2 linked regions of the Tamandua tetradactyla genome follow. The protein of the gene in region 1 purifies or fractionates together with the protein of each later gene. This does not show direct contact. Links are inferred from orthologs where the notes say so. Each region holds a gene or a part of one and is shown on either strand. Other genes may lie near its edges.

Region 1 (8,526 bases):
GTTAGATGTGTGCTGTTATCTTAGAAAGCTATTTTACTTTATGAAAAATCTGGGTAAACTCCCACCCTACCCAACCCATGCCAAGACCAATGGCAAATTAAACAAATATTTACTGAACACCTACACTGTGCTTATGTCAATTGTTCTCAACTGGACTGTGTATTGCTGATATCAGAGGTCCTAGGCCAGATAGGTATATTTTTTAAAAGCTCTGTAAGTAATTCTGATGCAAGACAAATTTCATGCTCTGGCCTTTGGGCATTAAGGAATACAAAAGAAATATAAGATACTCTTCCTGTCCTCAAGAGCTTACCCAGCCACACCAGGGTAAATTGGAATAGGATTCTAGTTAACTAAATTTAATCCTTTTGCAATATTATCAGGGCTTATGAAGTTAAAGAGAAGAAACTGGGGCAATTTGGATAGTAATAATTTCCTAGTCCAACTATAGATCAACTCCACCAGTAACTCCTGATACACAGTTCTACACTCCTTCTACCTCCCACACAGTTTAAAGGAACCATTCTCTGGGACTATGGAGTCACTCCAAGAGGGAAGATGAATTAAGGCCCAGAATTAAGGAAAGAATCCCTCAAGTTCATGCTGTCATGGGGCTTCCTCTAAAGAGAAGAAACAATCCTTCATCCTCCAACAATACTAGTTCACATCACTCTACAGTAGAGGTATCCGAGAAAAGCAAAGAGTAGCCTGAGTTTTCTATTTAAAGATTAAACTTGGTTTAAAGTGATGTGTATAGCTGCCAAGTTGACACACGAACCTGACCATGACAAATACTGAGGATGAACCTAGATCTTTACATGCAATAAATTCAAGGCCTTAACTACTGTACACACACAACCCTGGAAAATGAAGCATTAAAAGGACTTTTAATAAATGACGAAAACCAAACACACCATTATGTTGTTTTCCAAGTGATGGCAACATGTGCATTATATAATATCTAGATCATTTCCTCTTAGGTTGAAATCTGACTAAATCACAGTAAAAACACAGCCAAAGATTGAACTGGTAATTATGCTGAGTAAAAGGATCATCTACAATAACTAACTTACTCATTAAAATGTTCTGATTTATTTATAAATTATCTTGGAAGGTTTAAGATTTAAAATCATTTCATTCTAGAGTTCAATTTCTGAAAGTTGACAAATTACAATGGACTTTTTCTGTGAAAGCAGAGCCTCTGACAGAAGCAGCGCGTCAAGATATTTGAAGGGGAAGAGAAGTTTCATAGTTCTTTCCTTCCTTTAGTTGCTGCTTTTCTGGTTTTAGAATTTCAAACAAAGAAATACATATTGGCTTCACTGCTAAGAAACGCCCTTTTTCTCAGCAACTTCCTCTTCCAATTTTCTTCCCCACCATTGACATACGAGAACAATACCCACTGCGGGTCCTATCATTTTGATTAACCAAAAGCTCTGAGGTTTGTAAAAATTAAACGCTGCAATTTATGGTACTCAACTACCCCCACCTCCTCACTTCCCACAGGTTCACAATCTTTGCTCACCTACAAGTCAGGTAAAACAAAGAAACATTATACTCAATCAGAGGCAGGGTATTGAATCTTTCATCCCTCAAATCTAAAGAAATTCGAACTAACAAATAGGAAAAGAGGAAAAGTCTCCCATCCCAAGAAAATGTAGCCTTCTTAAGGAGGAAAGGAAGTTACTGGGCTGGCACAACCCGAATAAAGGATTTGGTTCGTACATGAAGTGCCAGTGAACTTTCTTCTACAGGCCACAAGGCCAGGTTTCAAACTGAGCCCTCTGAGTTTTGATACACTTTAAAGTGACTTATACAACTTAGAAATGGTCCTTTTCTTTTCACAACTGAAGAAAGGGGACGGACTTTTAATAAACCATCTAGGAATCACCACCCAGCCAATCTCCAGGCCAGGAGTCAAATCAAGCACCAGGGCCAGACCCCTCCCCCTCTGTGAGAAAGCAAACTTTCCCACTACTATCTTTTAAATGGGCAGTGACTACCCTTGGCCAGTGATTCAGAGGAAACACTTTAACACTGGTAAGCTCTGCACCTTACTGTGTGACCTTGAGTAAGTTACTTAATTTCTCGGAAATTTTGTTTCCTCGTGTGTAAATTCTCAAGGGTTACTGTAAAAATTAAATAATACATACACATAGTAAGAGGAGCAGCATAAATGTTCTTCTCTCTCCTCCTCCTAACTTCTTCTAGGCCATAAGATCAAATCGCAGCTCCAAGAGGGTCCAAGAACCTCTTCCTCTTCTCTGATTCTATACCCAATTGTATAAAAATTCCCCATTTCAAAGGCTGTACGATTTCTGGAGGGCCAAGACTATCTGGTCCCACTCCATCATGGTCTCTGTGTGGCATCTAGAGCATTGCTGGGGGAACCGCTTGAGCCCACTCTTTTACTCTGCAATCCATCCTACACACACACACACAGACACACAGACACACAGACACACACACACACACACCTTAATGTCCTCTCGACCACTCAGCAACTTAGCAGGCTGGGAGCTCCAGAAATATTTCTTGGTCCTGAAATGGAAATGTAGGCTCAGCCTGGGGAAGAACTTGCTCAATATCTCAGACAACATCCATGTATATCTGTCTGCCTACAAAGCCTCCGTCTTGCAAATGGAGAAAGTAGACTCAGAGAAGGAAGTGACTTGTCCAAGGTCACACAGAAAGTGGCAGAGCCAGCTCAGGCATTTTCGCAGGCTTACAGACCCGGGGCCCCTCCAAGTTTCCTAAGGGAACCCCGAGTTTCCGGCCCCTGGAAGTGAGGAATGTGTAGTAAGAAGTCACCCGGCGCAGATGGCTCGCCCGGTTTCTTCCAGGCCGCAGCAGGAGGCTCGGCACCCACTCCTCCCGGACCCTGCGCTCCCGGGAGCGGAGGATGGGCCGGGTGCCGTGCCGCGGAATGGTGGCGCCCGCCCGAAGGGACTTGTTGCTCACCTGGCCTCGCGCGGGCGCCCTCAGCGACAGAAACGTCGGCCAGCCACCCTGTCTCCGCACAGGGTCTGCTTCAGCCGGCCGTCTCACAGCCTGCCACACAGCCGGACCCCCCTCAGCGCGAAACGCCCCCAGCCGCGCTCGCCCGGCCTGCGTCCGCCATTACGCGATTCCCCGCCCTAGGACGCAGCCACACCCCGCCGACAGCCCTGATTGGTTCTCTGCCCCGCCCTCCTGGGGCTTCGGAGCAGTCCATTGGCTTAAGTGGAATGTCAGTTAAATAAATACGCAAAAGACGCACCCAAGGGTAGAGTCCCGGGAGCTCCACCCGAGCGACTTCCGCAAACGGAGTAAACAGCAGGGAGCAAACCAAGTGAAGTGGGAGTATAGATTAAAGTAAATCAACTCCTAAATACAGGGTAGGAGAATTCCATGTAAGAACGTATAAAAACTCATACAAAGTGTATAGAAATTCTAATTCTTCTTGGTAGAGCTTAAAGGACCAGTATTTTGGGTGGAAGGAAGGGACCAAGTCCGTGAACTTTCTATGTACTCCCCCTCAAGTTGCAGATAGTTTTGTCCCTTTCCTCCGGGTCCAGACTCGGCCGAAAGTAGGGTGGGGATGAGGTTGAGTCACTGGCTCTACCCCGCGATGGAAGGTTTCGCCGTAGGAGAGGCAAGGGCCCCTGGGACTGGGAGCTGGTTCTGAAAGGCCCTTTGTATTGGGTCAGGTGAATTGGACCCAATTCAGTCGCCACTTCACTCTGTGACCACCGACAAGTCCCTGAACTTCATGGTCTCAGTTTGTCCTTCTGCAAAATAGGAACAATCACGCCTGCCTCACTCCCTGGGATGGTTGAGGATTTATGCATAAATGGGTGTGTATGTCCATTGATTATAAAAGGCTGCAGCTGGATAACGAAGTGACAAATTCACAAGTTAGCAAAGATATCTGCGTTGGTTCTCCAGAGCTACCCTGTGTAGGGCAAGTATTGTCCTCGTTTTTGTAGAAGAGAAAACCTAGTCTGGGGATATTTTGACATGCCAAGGGTCCCCTAGGGAATTGGAAACAGCCCTGAGTGAGACTCAACTCTTTGTCTTTAATCTTCCATTCCTTTTTTTCTCCCAGGCTCCGTGTCACCTGAAAAAGACTTCCCTCCCCCATCCCCTAGCCTTCCAGAAAGGGTCTTGGGGAAAGAGGGCAGAATTTCCCACACCTCTTTGGTCACCATAGATTTGGGCCCTAGCTATTGTCAGTCACCAAGATTTGTGGGGAAAAGTGACCTTCAGAATTGGGGACCCTAGGAATCAAGAGTAAAAGACTACTGGCCGCTCAGCAGCCCCGGCAGTATCCCAAATGACACAGAAACTCTGAGAGGGGCAGTGACCCCATTGTGTGCCCTCAGCAAGGCAGCCTTCATGCCAAGACTTAAATCCAGGTCTCTCTGCTCGCACAACAGGCCTTTTTTCACCACAGGATTGTTTTTCCCAGAAGGGCTGTCTTGGCTGTAATCCCTAGTCCCTTTCCCTTTCTAAAAATGAAGAAAGCCAAGAAGGGAGTGAGAAGGGGAGCAGCCTAAAACTTTGGAAGGACAAATCTGGCCAAAAGGGTGTGGTGTCGACAGGGCCCCAGTGCTGTGGACCTCCAGGCTCAACTGGGATGTGTGGTTTGACTACCTGTGACTATTTAAATCCTAACTGTGGCGTTTGGTGCTAGGTGACAGCAGGTGCTATGCAGTATGCAGTGGCTTTGAGGTCAGACTGACTTGAGATTGAATCCAAGTTCTACTGCAGAAAGCAGTACTGACCTTCATCAACTTTTTCTCAAAGGTGGGGATAACAGGGCACTTGTGAGGTTAAATGAGTTAACTGTGAAATCAATGAGCCGTGTGTGTCAAGTGCCCCGTAGTTATATATTCATTCGTGGATGCATTTGTTCAATAAATTATTAAGCACCAACAACATGCAGGGCAGCCTGCCAGTGCTGCAGCCACGATGGTGAATAAAACAGATTTGGACCCTCATGTCGCTTAGAGTCTTGTGAAGAAGAAAGTCTTTGAACAAATGATCACACAAATCAAAATACAGTTAGAAACCGTGATAAGGAGCAAGAAGGCAAACTACAATGTGCTTATGAAAGTGAACTTCTAGAGATGGGGCAGGAGACTTCCCTGGGAAGAGATGTCTAATGTGAAATGGATAAGTGGGGGTTAACAAGACAGGTGGGGAGAAGTTACAGGCCTAGACGTGAAAAGGCATCTAGGCCAATGGACTTGGTGGCAGTGGGGAGGGGCAGGGCTCACAAGACCTTGTGGGACACCAAATTGTTGAAGAATGAGGGTACCTGGCCTTGAAAATTGGGCTATTCTCCAAGGATCTCTGCACTTCTTTTAGAGTCCCTGAAAGAATATCAGCTTTGAGGCAAATCTGCATGGAGCTGAATTTCGACTCTGCCACCTAGGAGTGTGTTGCCTTAAGCAATCATCACATTTTTCTGTGCCTCAGCTACTCTTCTGAGAAATGCAGATAATGATAGCGGGTCATAAGGTGAGGATAACGATTGAATGCAGAAAGGTGTATAAAGCATCCCGGCCCATAAACAGTGCTCAATTTTTCTGGCATGGAGGGAGGTGAGCCTGAGGCAGCAGATCCAGCAGATACATTTGGGAGAAAGCTGTGTGGGGCAGCTATGCACTGGATGAGTTGTCATCTGACTCTAATTGTCTTAAGAGACTGTGGAGCCAGACAAGCCTCAGTTCAAATCCCGGATACACTACTTCCTAGCTGTGTGACCTCGGACAGGTGACTTAGCCTCTTTGAGCCTCCGTTTTACTTATGCATAAAATGGGGATCATAATTGTTTCTGTTTCGGGCGGGCCACGGTGGCTCAGCAGGTAAGAATGCTTGCCTGCCAAGCCCGAGGACCCGGGTTCAATTCCCGGTGCCTGCCCATGTAAAAAATAAAAATAAAAAAATAATTGTTTCTGTTTCCCAAAACTGTGAGAATTAAGTGATATAATAAATGTGAAGCTCCTATTAACTCTAATAATGATTATTATTGTTTTTTTGTTGTTGTTTTTTTTCACATGGGCAGGCACCCGGAATCGAACCCAGGTCCTCTGGCATGGCAGGCGAGCATTCTTTTCTGCTGAGCCACTGTGGCCCACCCATGATTATTATTGTTAATATCAAATTACTACCTGCCCTGGAAATAAAGATCTCGGGCTTTCTTTGAAGGTTGACTGACAACAGGAGTCTCAGTTTCTCCTTTGAGGCAATGGTGATAGACAAGTTGTTTTCAAGGGATGAGCGCATATCAATAGTAATAACAGGCACTAACATTTATTGAGCATTTATTATGGAGCAGGCGTGTGCTGAGTGCTTTACATGTTTTAATTCATTTAATCCCCACAGCCTTCCTGTAAGTTGTCTTGTTGTACTTATCCCCCATTTTATAGATGAGGTAAAAGAGGCACAGAGAGGTTAAGTGACTTGCCTAAAGTCAACCAGTCAGGAATAAGTACAGTTGGGATTCAAACCCAACCAGGAAACTTGAAAGGACTTGCTGCTGCTCTTCTATCCAAGGAGTTAGAGGTGAAATTGTTCCCTGCTCCTGGCAAGTCCCCAGTTTCCCAAGACCAAGCCCTGTTCCTTTTGCACTAAATTTAAAAAATAACCTGTTTTTAATACCTGTTAAAATGCCTGTTAAAAATGCCTGTTCCCTATTCCTGAGGCTGGTAAGAGCAGAGACCAGACCCTCTGCTTCTGCAAGGGGAAGCAAAGGACATTTGGTGTACCAGACTGGGTCTGAATCCCAACTTTGCCACTTATGGCTCTATCTTGGCAAAGTCACACTGCGTCTCTGAGCCTCAGTTTCCTTATCTATGAAAAAAGGATTATAACAGCTCTGCCTACAGGTCCGGTGTGAAGAGCAGAAGAAATTAGGCCTGCATAAAATATGAAATGCAGTCCACGCTGGAGTTCCTCTCATTGTTGCTATGGGGATGGCGATCCCTTCCGGAGGAAAGCAACCTAGGCGAGATAGCAGGCGACTTCAGGTCCCAGCTCTGCCTTTGGCACCCTGTGTAAACCTGGTTCAGCCTCAGTTTCTCCATCTATAAAATGGAGTGACTAATACTGATTTCAAAGAGTTGGAGAGAAAATACTATGAGAGGATGTGCAGAAAGCCAGGAGCCAGCGCCTAGTTCAGAGCTGGCTGAGTGCAGCCTGCTGAGGCATTCCAGGGGGAAGAACCAAACAATGGGTACAGAAAGTCTCTCAATGCTGCGCCCCCACACCCCAATCTAAGGGGAAAAGGATAGAGTGCACTGTGCTTGCAGCCCATGATTGTCGCCCACCACCCTCTCTCTCTTTGCATCCTTAGCTCTTGCTGGGACCACTAGATCTCTCTCTCTCTCTTTCTCTCTCTCTCTCTCTCTCTCTCCTCTCTCTCCTCTCTCTCTCTCTCTCTCTCTCTCTCTCTCTCTCTCTCTCTCTCTCTCCTCTCTCTCCTCTCTCTCTCTCTCTCTCTCTCTCTCTCTCTCTCTCTCTCTCCTCTCTCTCTCTCTCTCTCTCTCTCTCTCTCTCTCTCTCTCTCTCTCTCTCTCCTCTCTCTCTCCTCTCTCTCTCTCTCTCTCTCTCTCTCTCTCTCTCTCTCTCTCTCTCTCTCTCTCTCTCTCTCTCTCTCTCTCTCCTCTCTCTCTCTCTCTCTCTCTCTCTCTCTCTCACTCTCTCTTCATTCTCACAAGTTCTTTTCCACTGAGCAATCCCAGGGGGCCCCAAACCTTGGTTCCAGCCAAGCTTGCAGGCTTTCCCCGCCTCCACATCCTTAATCCATAGCCTTTGCATTTGCCATTCCTTCCACCTGGAATGCTCTCTCCTCCTAGAGCGCCTTTGATGGGGAAGTGGTGGTGGTGATTGGGGGGGGGGGGGTTGCTGGAGAGGAAGGATCCAGAGTGACGCTCCCCTACCTCCTCATTCCCCTCCCCTGCATCCCCCACACTGCATGCCTCACCTCCCCTCTCCCAGCGTGGGGGATGAGGCAGCACGAGGAGGGGGAGGAAAGCGGGGAGGACTCAGTGAAGGGCCCTCTGTGGGGTTTTTCACCTGCTCAGAAGAGGCAGACGGAAATGAAAGCTCTGGAAAAACGCCTGCCGCTCTGCTGCAGCAGCCCCAGCTCAATGAAGCCTCCCGATTCCCATCAAACCATCTCCTCCTCCTCCTCCCGCAGGCAAATGCCTCAGTCAGAGAAGGGGTGGGGGGGGGGGAGGGACACAGCGGGGCCGGAGAGAAATGGGTTCCAATCCCATTGCTGCCATGTACCCAGTGAATGACCCCAGCAAGCTGCTCAACCTGCCTTCACCTCATTTCTTTGTCAAAGGGGACAAGGATCCCTGTCTTTCAGGCTGCCACTAGGACAAATGAGATGCTGAATGAAAGTGCCTGGCATGACAGAGTGCCCAGGTGCATGTTCTCAGCACTTGGCATGGATTAGCCTATTTAATTCTTGATGAGGTAGACACTACTACTCTCCCCATTTTATAGATGAGAAAACTGAGGCTGAGAGAG
Region 2 (7,379 bases), on another chromosome or scaffold:
AACCAAGGCGGAATGAAGGGCTCCTGACTCCAGGGCCTTTCTACCAGTTCATCCCCACCCCCACCATTCGGAAGTCCCATCATCTACTTCGGGGGGTGGGAGGTGGTGAACCTAGGAAGTCTTTTCAAGTTGCTCTAATGTCTCCCAGAGAAGAGATGCCTCTTTCTGGCCAAACAGGCTTCCCCTTCCTACCACTCCTCCCGTTCAAGGAATTCCATCCCTTGATTTCCCCACCTGGGAAAGGGAAGGACAGCGCCAAAGTGCAGCTGAGGTCCTCGTGAACTGTGAACGGAGATCTGGAGAGGTCGGAGCTGCCGGGAGTGGAGGCGGCACCCCCTCCCAGCCCGGAGAAGGGGCTTGTTTCCCGGGGATCCCTACCGGGGGGCGGGGGCCACACGGCTCTGGCCAAGACGGAGGTGGTGGTGGGAGCCCGAGCCCGGTGCCACCATCAGGGCCGGGGGCTCACCTCCTGAACTCCGTGGGCCCACGCTCCAGAGTGGCGGTCGCCGGTCCCGGGCCGCATCTTTTCTCCACCGGGTGCCTGGCAACCGCCTTTGTGACCCGGGATCTTGAGCCGCGGCGTGGGGGTCGGGGGGGGGGGGGGGGGGGGGGGGAGGTTAGGGCTCGAGGCGCGCCAGCTGACGGCCTTAGGGGCTGATCTCCCCACTCCCATCTCCTGGGAACCCTTGGCCGGGGACTGAGCCTTGAGGAGCGCGGGTTCGATTCCCCATTCTCCCCACCACCCCTCCCTGCCTGTGCGCCTTTGATCAAGTCTCAATCTCAGCATCCATTCCAACACATGGAACAGAAGACTGGCACGCTTGAGAGGTCAGGAACCAGAATTAAAGCCCCGGATTTACATTACACCCTGTTCGGTGGATGTTCAGGTAGTTTATCTAGGCTCTGAAGCTGTATGTTGCTGTATTGGAAAGATCCCAGTACAAGGAGACAGAACTTCATAAACGCCAGGCCATCAAAAGCAAGAAGATAGATGATAACACGTCTTTCCTTCACTTTCTGACCAAAAACCTTTCACTACCTTCTATTACATCTCGAAAAGTATGATCCTGTCCCATCCTTACAATGGTAAAAGATGACACTTTCACCACAGTAAAAGAGTGATTTGACAACTTTGTAAAACATCATCTCAAACAATTATCCTGGGTCACCAAAGAAAGAAGGGACATCTAACCAGTTCACCTTCAGAGTCCCAGTGCCTGGCAGTATGAAGTATTTGTGAGAGAAATTAACTACCTACCTGCTCTTCCATTATACACCCAGAAATTGCCTTGTACTCTGCAAGCTGTAGAAGGCAGCAAAAATAAGGGCTGTCTCCTTCTCTGGTTCTTTAAGTGAAGCTGAAGGATAGATCCTGGCCAGGAAGCAGATAGGTTTAAGGAGCTTGTGAAGCATTGTCAGATGCTCACTGTGCATGTTTGCATGCCCTGCAGGAGAGGTAAGTGGAAAGAGGTTAGAGGGAAGACAAAAAATGGAAAGAGGGAAGGAGAATGATGAGATTTGGAAGAGATGCAAAAGATTTTTTAATTACAAAACTTTTTCCCCCAGTAATTTTTTTTTTAATTTTCCCCTTGAATAAGAGAGATACCTGATATTTAAAAAGCAGGCAAAACAGTTGTTTTTATTGCCTTTTTTTTTAATGAAAGTCTCCAAAACAACACTGTATGGTTAGAAATTGCTGGACAGCTATAGGTGTATTTTATTGCTACTTTCTGCATAAGAAGAAAATGTTAACTTATCTTGAGTCCTTTGCTTCGTTAGGCTCTGTTCTTAGTTTTTACTTTAGCCTTGCTTGCATAATCCTTCCAACAGTCCCAACCCACTGAGGTTGTTATTTTAGTAATACACTTGAAGGAGCGAAAGCTCAGGGGGGTAAAAAGACTCATCTCTAGATTTGAGATTTGAAACCGAAATGGCCTTCCTTTTAAAGGAAAAGGTCTGTCTGATTTCTGAGGCATGTGAGCCATATACTACTTCAACAGCATCAGTTGGAAAAGCGGGGTCTTGATTGGAAGGGGGCCTTCATGGGTGCCTAGGGCTCCTTAGTTGTCAATATCAATTACTTTAGAAATGATTTGTGTGAATATGTGGAAGAGCTCGGATAGACTTGAGCCTATTTTCAGTGTGGTACAGTGAAAAGATAATGGAGTCTGGGTTGTTGTAAACATCAGATGAGGGATGAAGATACACATACCTGAATGGTTAAAAGATTTTGAAACGTAAACTATTACCCTCACAAAAATTCTCAGATCAATCTCAATTTATATGATAAAGGCAGCGAAATCACTCAAAGAAGCATCTTCCCTTCCCAGTGGTGATGTAGCAGCAGAGCACCACAGAGGGATCAGAGGAAGGATGAAGAATGTGAAGAAAATAAGACACAAAACGAGGGCGATGAAGATGGGGGCAACCTCTTCAAATTCCAAAAGAAGAAGAGGGAGAGACATTGACAAAAGAGATTGAGGAAAATACCAAGGAGGGAGTAGAAGGGGGAAAAAAAAAGAGGAAGGTGAGAGGAGAAGAGCCAGGAGAAGGAGGAAAGGATTCTTAGGTTTCATGCTTTATTTCTTCGTTTTCCAGAAAACACAAGCCATGAAGCAAAATTTCAACCATCTTCCCATGAACTAAACTTGTTATTTCCCGAAGAAATAAAATGTTTTGGCCTGAAGTTACCCTTCTCTCTAAGTATATCAGAGATTCTCTGAAAAATTACACTGCTTAATGTGGCTAGATATACCTGGATGTATCTACTTAATCAAGTCAACTTGAAATAAATGTGAAGACAATATGTTCATATTTCATGTGCCTGAAATTTTGGCCTTTGCTTATTATTGTTATTTATTTTTATTATTGTTCTGCATGAATAGCCCTTCTTACTAATACCCTGAAAAAAATTATTTCAAGGTATAGAACCTCTCTTCGGGAAATAACAATACTATTTTCTCTGGGTGTGCCTTATAACCTGTCTTGGATTTAGCTTTGAAAATGAATGTGTCCTCCAGAAAATAATTATATAAATAAATGATGATAACATAACCTCTTCCTGACTTCTCAAAGGGTTTGTGAGGATGCTATATAAAAGTGTCTTTATAGGTTGTAAAATCTTCCACCCAAGTAAAGGACTGTTAGTAATGGTTTCTTCTCAGCTACTACTAGAAGAAATGACTCTTCAGCCACTTTTTAATAAAAGGCTTTTACAGCACAAATCAGATTGTAAATATTCCTTGAAACAAAAAGTTTGCAATTCCATTATTTTAACAAATCAGATATTGACATTTTGGTATATCTTTCTTGTCCTCAAGCAGCAATGAAAGAAAATTTTGTATTTTGTTTTTCCCTTTAATGTATCATGTTTTCACATTACCATACTTTTTAAATGACTGCATGGTGTTGCCTTAAGTGGCTATACCTTTGCTTAGTTATTCCCTATTGCTGGAGATTTATTTTGTTTTGATAATTCTTCAAAGAGCACCTTTAAGCTTTAAGTTATTTTGTGGTTTCTTTTTTTTTCCTTTTCAATGATTTTCTTAAGGATATTAGGTCAAACGGCAGTTATCAAATTTCCTTCTCAAGGGACAATGTGATCAACTATTTATGATCCTACCAATTTCACCTCAGCCTTGCCATCACTAGTTATTTAACTTTAAAAACACGTTTTGTTAATTTGATATATACAAGGAGGGATGTCACGTTGCGTTGTTGGAAACGTTTTTTAAATGACTTGTATGTAGTGTGGTTTAAACTGCTGTGCCCACCTCACTGCTGACACATACTGCGCCTCCTTAGTTTGGAGCAGATGAAAGAGCTGGTGACACTGGCCCAAGCGCCTTCTAACGACCACAACGGCGGGTTACAGGGTAGCTTTGACACGTGCGTATTCCACTCTCCCGGCCTGAGTCGCCGCATCTGTTCTCCCGAGCGTGGGAGAAGAGCAAGAACGCAGCCGAGGACTTAACACTGCGCAGACGCACCACAGTGCTCGCGGAGTCCGTGGGAGTCAAGGCAGCGGGTTTGATTGGCAGCGCAGGCGCACTGGCGGCCTGTAGGGACGGTGCGCCTGCGCAGTTATTCTCCCTTCAGCGGCCGCCATGGCGGGCCAGGAGGATCCGGTGCAGCGCGAGATTCACCAGGATTGGGCAAACCGGGAGTACATTGAGGTCATCACCAGCAGCATCAAGAAAATCGCGGACTTTCTCAATTCGTTCGGTAAGTGGGCGATCCGGGGGAGTAGGGAGACCTCCGAAGCGGTTTGGCGGGGACGCTGAGGAGAAGCTTTGATAGGGCACGCCGGGAGCTCTCGGCTCTGGCTCTTTTTCGCATCCTCCTTCGGGCCGCACTTCTCCCTCCCTGATCCCTAGGCTCCTTTAGACAGTTTCGGTGGGGTTTTCCTGTCCCAGGCTGGGCTCATGGGCCACGCTGGATCCACCAAGTCCTTATCCACCAAGGCCTTCCTTTTCTCAGTCCGATCTCAAGCGGCCCTATCCGTTCTCTGCGGCTTTTCTTCTGCCTCTTTTGCGCCCCGCTTTCATCCCGGTTCCTGCTTTTCACTCTTAACGACTGTCACTCCCTTGCTTAAAGACTGTTTTGATTTTTGAGCGGACATGTCGCCATGTCGTTCGAGTCAAGACGAAGCTTTGCGTGCTACGTGCTGTTTCCGCATTTTTTTCCGTCGTCCCTTCAGCCACTGCTCTCGCGGTTCCTTCCTTCCTGATTACCGTGGGCTTGCTGAAAGCGGTAGGAATTGAGGTTAGAGAGATAGGTAGAGTCCAGAGCATTATAAGACCGTGGAAATCTCTGTATTGCTGGTATATAGCATATAGCTGTAAGCGGGTGTTTTTTATGCTTCTAGCCGGTTCCACACAGCTAACACAGGGCGGGAGACTTGAGCATAGAGATAACTTTGCCAGAATCTTTCTTTAGTATATCGTGCTTGTGACAGTCGTAAAAATTTTCTGCACTATTCCATACCCTTCTTGAGAGCAAGCCTGTACAAAATTCTACTCCATGTTCTCCAAGTATGCTTTGGTTACATTAATTCAACATTAAACAATTAAGATTAAATATGGAAAAGTGATGTATAATTTTTTTTAATGAATTATTTTCTAGCTAGATGGCCGATGAGTCCTAAAGAGTATAAATGTGACAGAGCAAGAGTGTTGTCAGAAAGCATCAAAAAGAGGAATTAAGTCTCAGTACCAGGCATTCTCTCAGGCACTGGGGGGGCGTGGGGGGAGCACACTATGGGGGACATAGAATAATTTCCTGCCAAGTAATTTCTAATTTTCGAGATGAAGTGATGACAACTTCAAACAAAGCAGAGCTCTGTGTTTTTTTGTTAAAATGATTAGGTGCAAGATGTACAGGACTATAATCTTTTAAAAAAATTTTTTATTAATAAAACCAATCAATATACAACACGAATATTCTTAATGTATGAACATTCCATACTTGGTGTGCAATCAGTGGCTCACAATATCGTCACATAGTTGTATATTCATCACCATGATCATTTCTCAGAACATTTACATCACTCCAGAAAAAGAAATAAAAAGAAAAAATTCATACATACATATCCCTTCCTCTCATTGACCACTAGTATTTCCTTCTACCCAATTTATTTTAATGTTTGTTCCCCCTATTATATATTTATTTTTAATCCATATTTTTTACTCATCTGCAGGACTAAAATCTTTTTATTTTTCGGAATTTTTTTTTAAACACCAAACAAACGCAAACATTCTTAACTTTTGATCATTGTTCTACATATATAATCAGTAATTCACAATATCATCACATAGTTGCATAATCATCATGATCATTTCTTAGAACATTTGCATCTATTCAGAAAAAGAAATAAAAAGAAAACAGAAAAAAATTCATACATACCATACCCCCCACCCCTCCCCTCACCGATCACCAGCATTTCAATCTAAATTTAACATTTGTTCCCCCTCTTATTCATCTTTATTCCATATGTTCTATTCGTCTGTTGATAAGGTAGATAAAAGGAGCATCAAACACAAGGTTTTCACAATCACACAGTCACATTGTGAAAGCTGTATCATTATACAGTCATCTTCAAGAAACATGGCTACTGGAACACAGCTCTACATTTTCAGGCAGTTCCCTCCAGCCTCTCCATTACATCTTGAATAACAAGGTGATATCTATTTAATGTGTGAGAATAACCTCCAGGATAACCTCTCGACTCTGTTTGGAATCTCTCAGCCATTGACACTTTATTTTGTCTCATTTCACTCTTCCCGCTTTTGGTCGAGAAGGTTTTCTCAGTCCCCTGATGCTGAGTGTCAACTCATTCTAGGATTTCTGTCCCACGTTGCCAGGAAGAGGCTTGTCTTAGTATGGTGGATTTCCTCACTCATTAGGGAATGGGAATGAAGGTATTGATTATCCTTATGAAAGAAGACAGTAGTATAGTATAGATGTATATGTCAGGGCTAGATGTACACACATACAGGTTGTTATAGAGAGTAGGAAATGGTGGTCAAAAAAGCATAGCCCTCATGTATCCTGAAATGTTTTGAGGAATATAATAAGGTTGTATGGTTTAATGGAGAAAGTGAGTGGATTTGGAGTCAGGAAACCCAAGTTCAAAGAGATTAAGGTAATTGGTTTTAATAAACTGGACACATTTCAGAAATACTGGTCTGTTTGCATTCTGTGGCGACAGTTTGAATGTTGGTTCTCATCACTAGTTTCTCCTGCTTTCCTAGAGAGATGAAATATTGTTGGGGGTTCTTCACCACATTCTTTATTCATAGCATTCCCTTAGAGGAAGGGCTAGATAAGAGAAGCCAAAATATCCGTGCTAGGGAAAGAATGAAACGATGACAGGATCATAGCTTTGAGACTCTTCTTTAATCTAGAGAGGCAGTGGAAGTACATGGAAAAATCACTGATATATTTAACTTTGTTTTAAAAGGCAGAACTTAAAGACTTTTTTATCTGGGAGGAGTTGATTTCTGATACATACAGAATATCCAAACAAGATATATCATTTCAATTAGTAAGCCATCTAAAATAAGCTAGACTGTTTTTCCAAATTTGAAAGTGATCTAGGATTTCAGTCCCCAAATTTAGATCCTAAATAATGTAATAACTTCATTTCTGAGTTCAGAATTATATTAGTAAAGTTCTAGTTCATATACGTTTATCTTTGGCATCCATCTTCCTGTCAGATCACACCACTAAATCTATAGTTTGTGATTTTGAGATCTAACTGAAAATTGTACAGGATAGATGTCCCTTGTTTTATAAGGAAGAAAAATCGGCTCCGAGATTTTTAGATGAGTGATTGACATTTTGTGATCAGATGGAGAAGTGTTTTCATTTCATTGGAG

Evidence for each region. The genes of interacting proteins can lie anywhere in the genome.
Region 2: the proteins of WASF2 (region 1) and BRK1 purify together in Homo sapiens (co-immunoprecipitation; 3 studies listed by BioGRID and IntAct, with this or other methods). This does not show direct contact. The link is inferred for Tamandua tetradactyla from reciprocal best matches to the Homo sapiens genes WASF2 and BRK1.

The regions. Positions count from the first base shown.
Region 1 is NC_135328.1:198,768,634-198,777,159, reverse strand, and holds the start of WASF2 (actin-binding protein WASF2), read right to left. Parts: upstream 3,131-8,526; 5' UTR 2,962-3,130; intron 1-2,961. UniProt on the Homo sapiens protein: Downstream effector molecule involved in the transmission of signals from tyrosine kinase receptors and small GTPases to the actin cytoskeleton. Promotes formation of actin filaments. Part of the WAVE complex that regulates lamellipodia formation.
Region 2 is NC_135335.1:39,042,739-39,050,117, reverse strand, and holds the start of BRK1 (protein BRICK1), read left to right. Parts: upstream 1-4,062; 5' UTR 4,063-4,106; coding exon 4,107-4,224; intron 4,225-7,379. UniProt on the Homo sapiens protein: Involved in regulation of actin and microtubule organization. Part of a WAVE complex that activates the Arp2/3 complex. As component of the WAVE1 complex, required for BDNF-NTRK2 endocytic trafficking and signaling from early endosomes.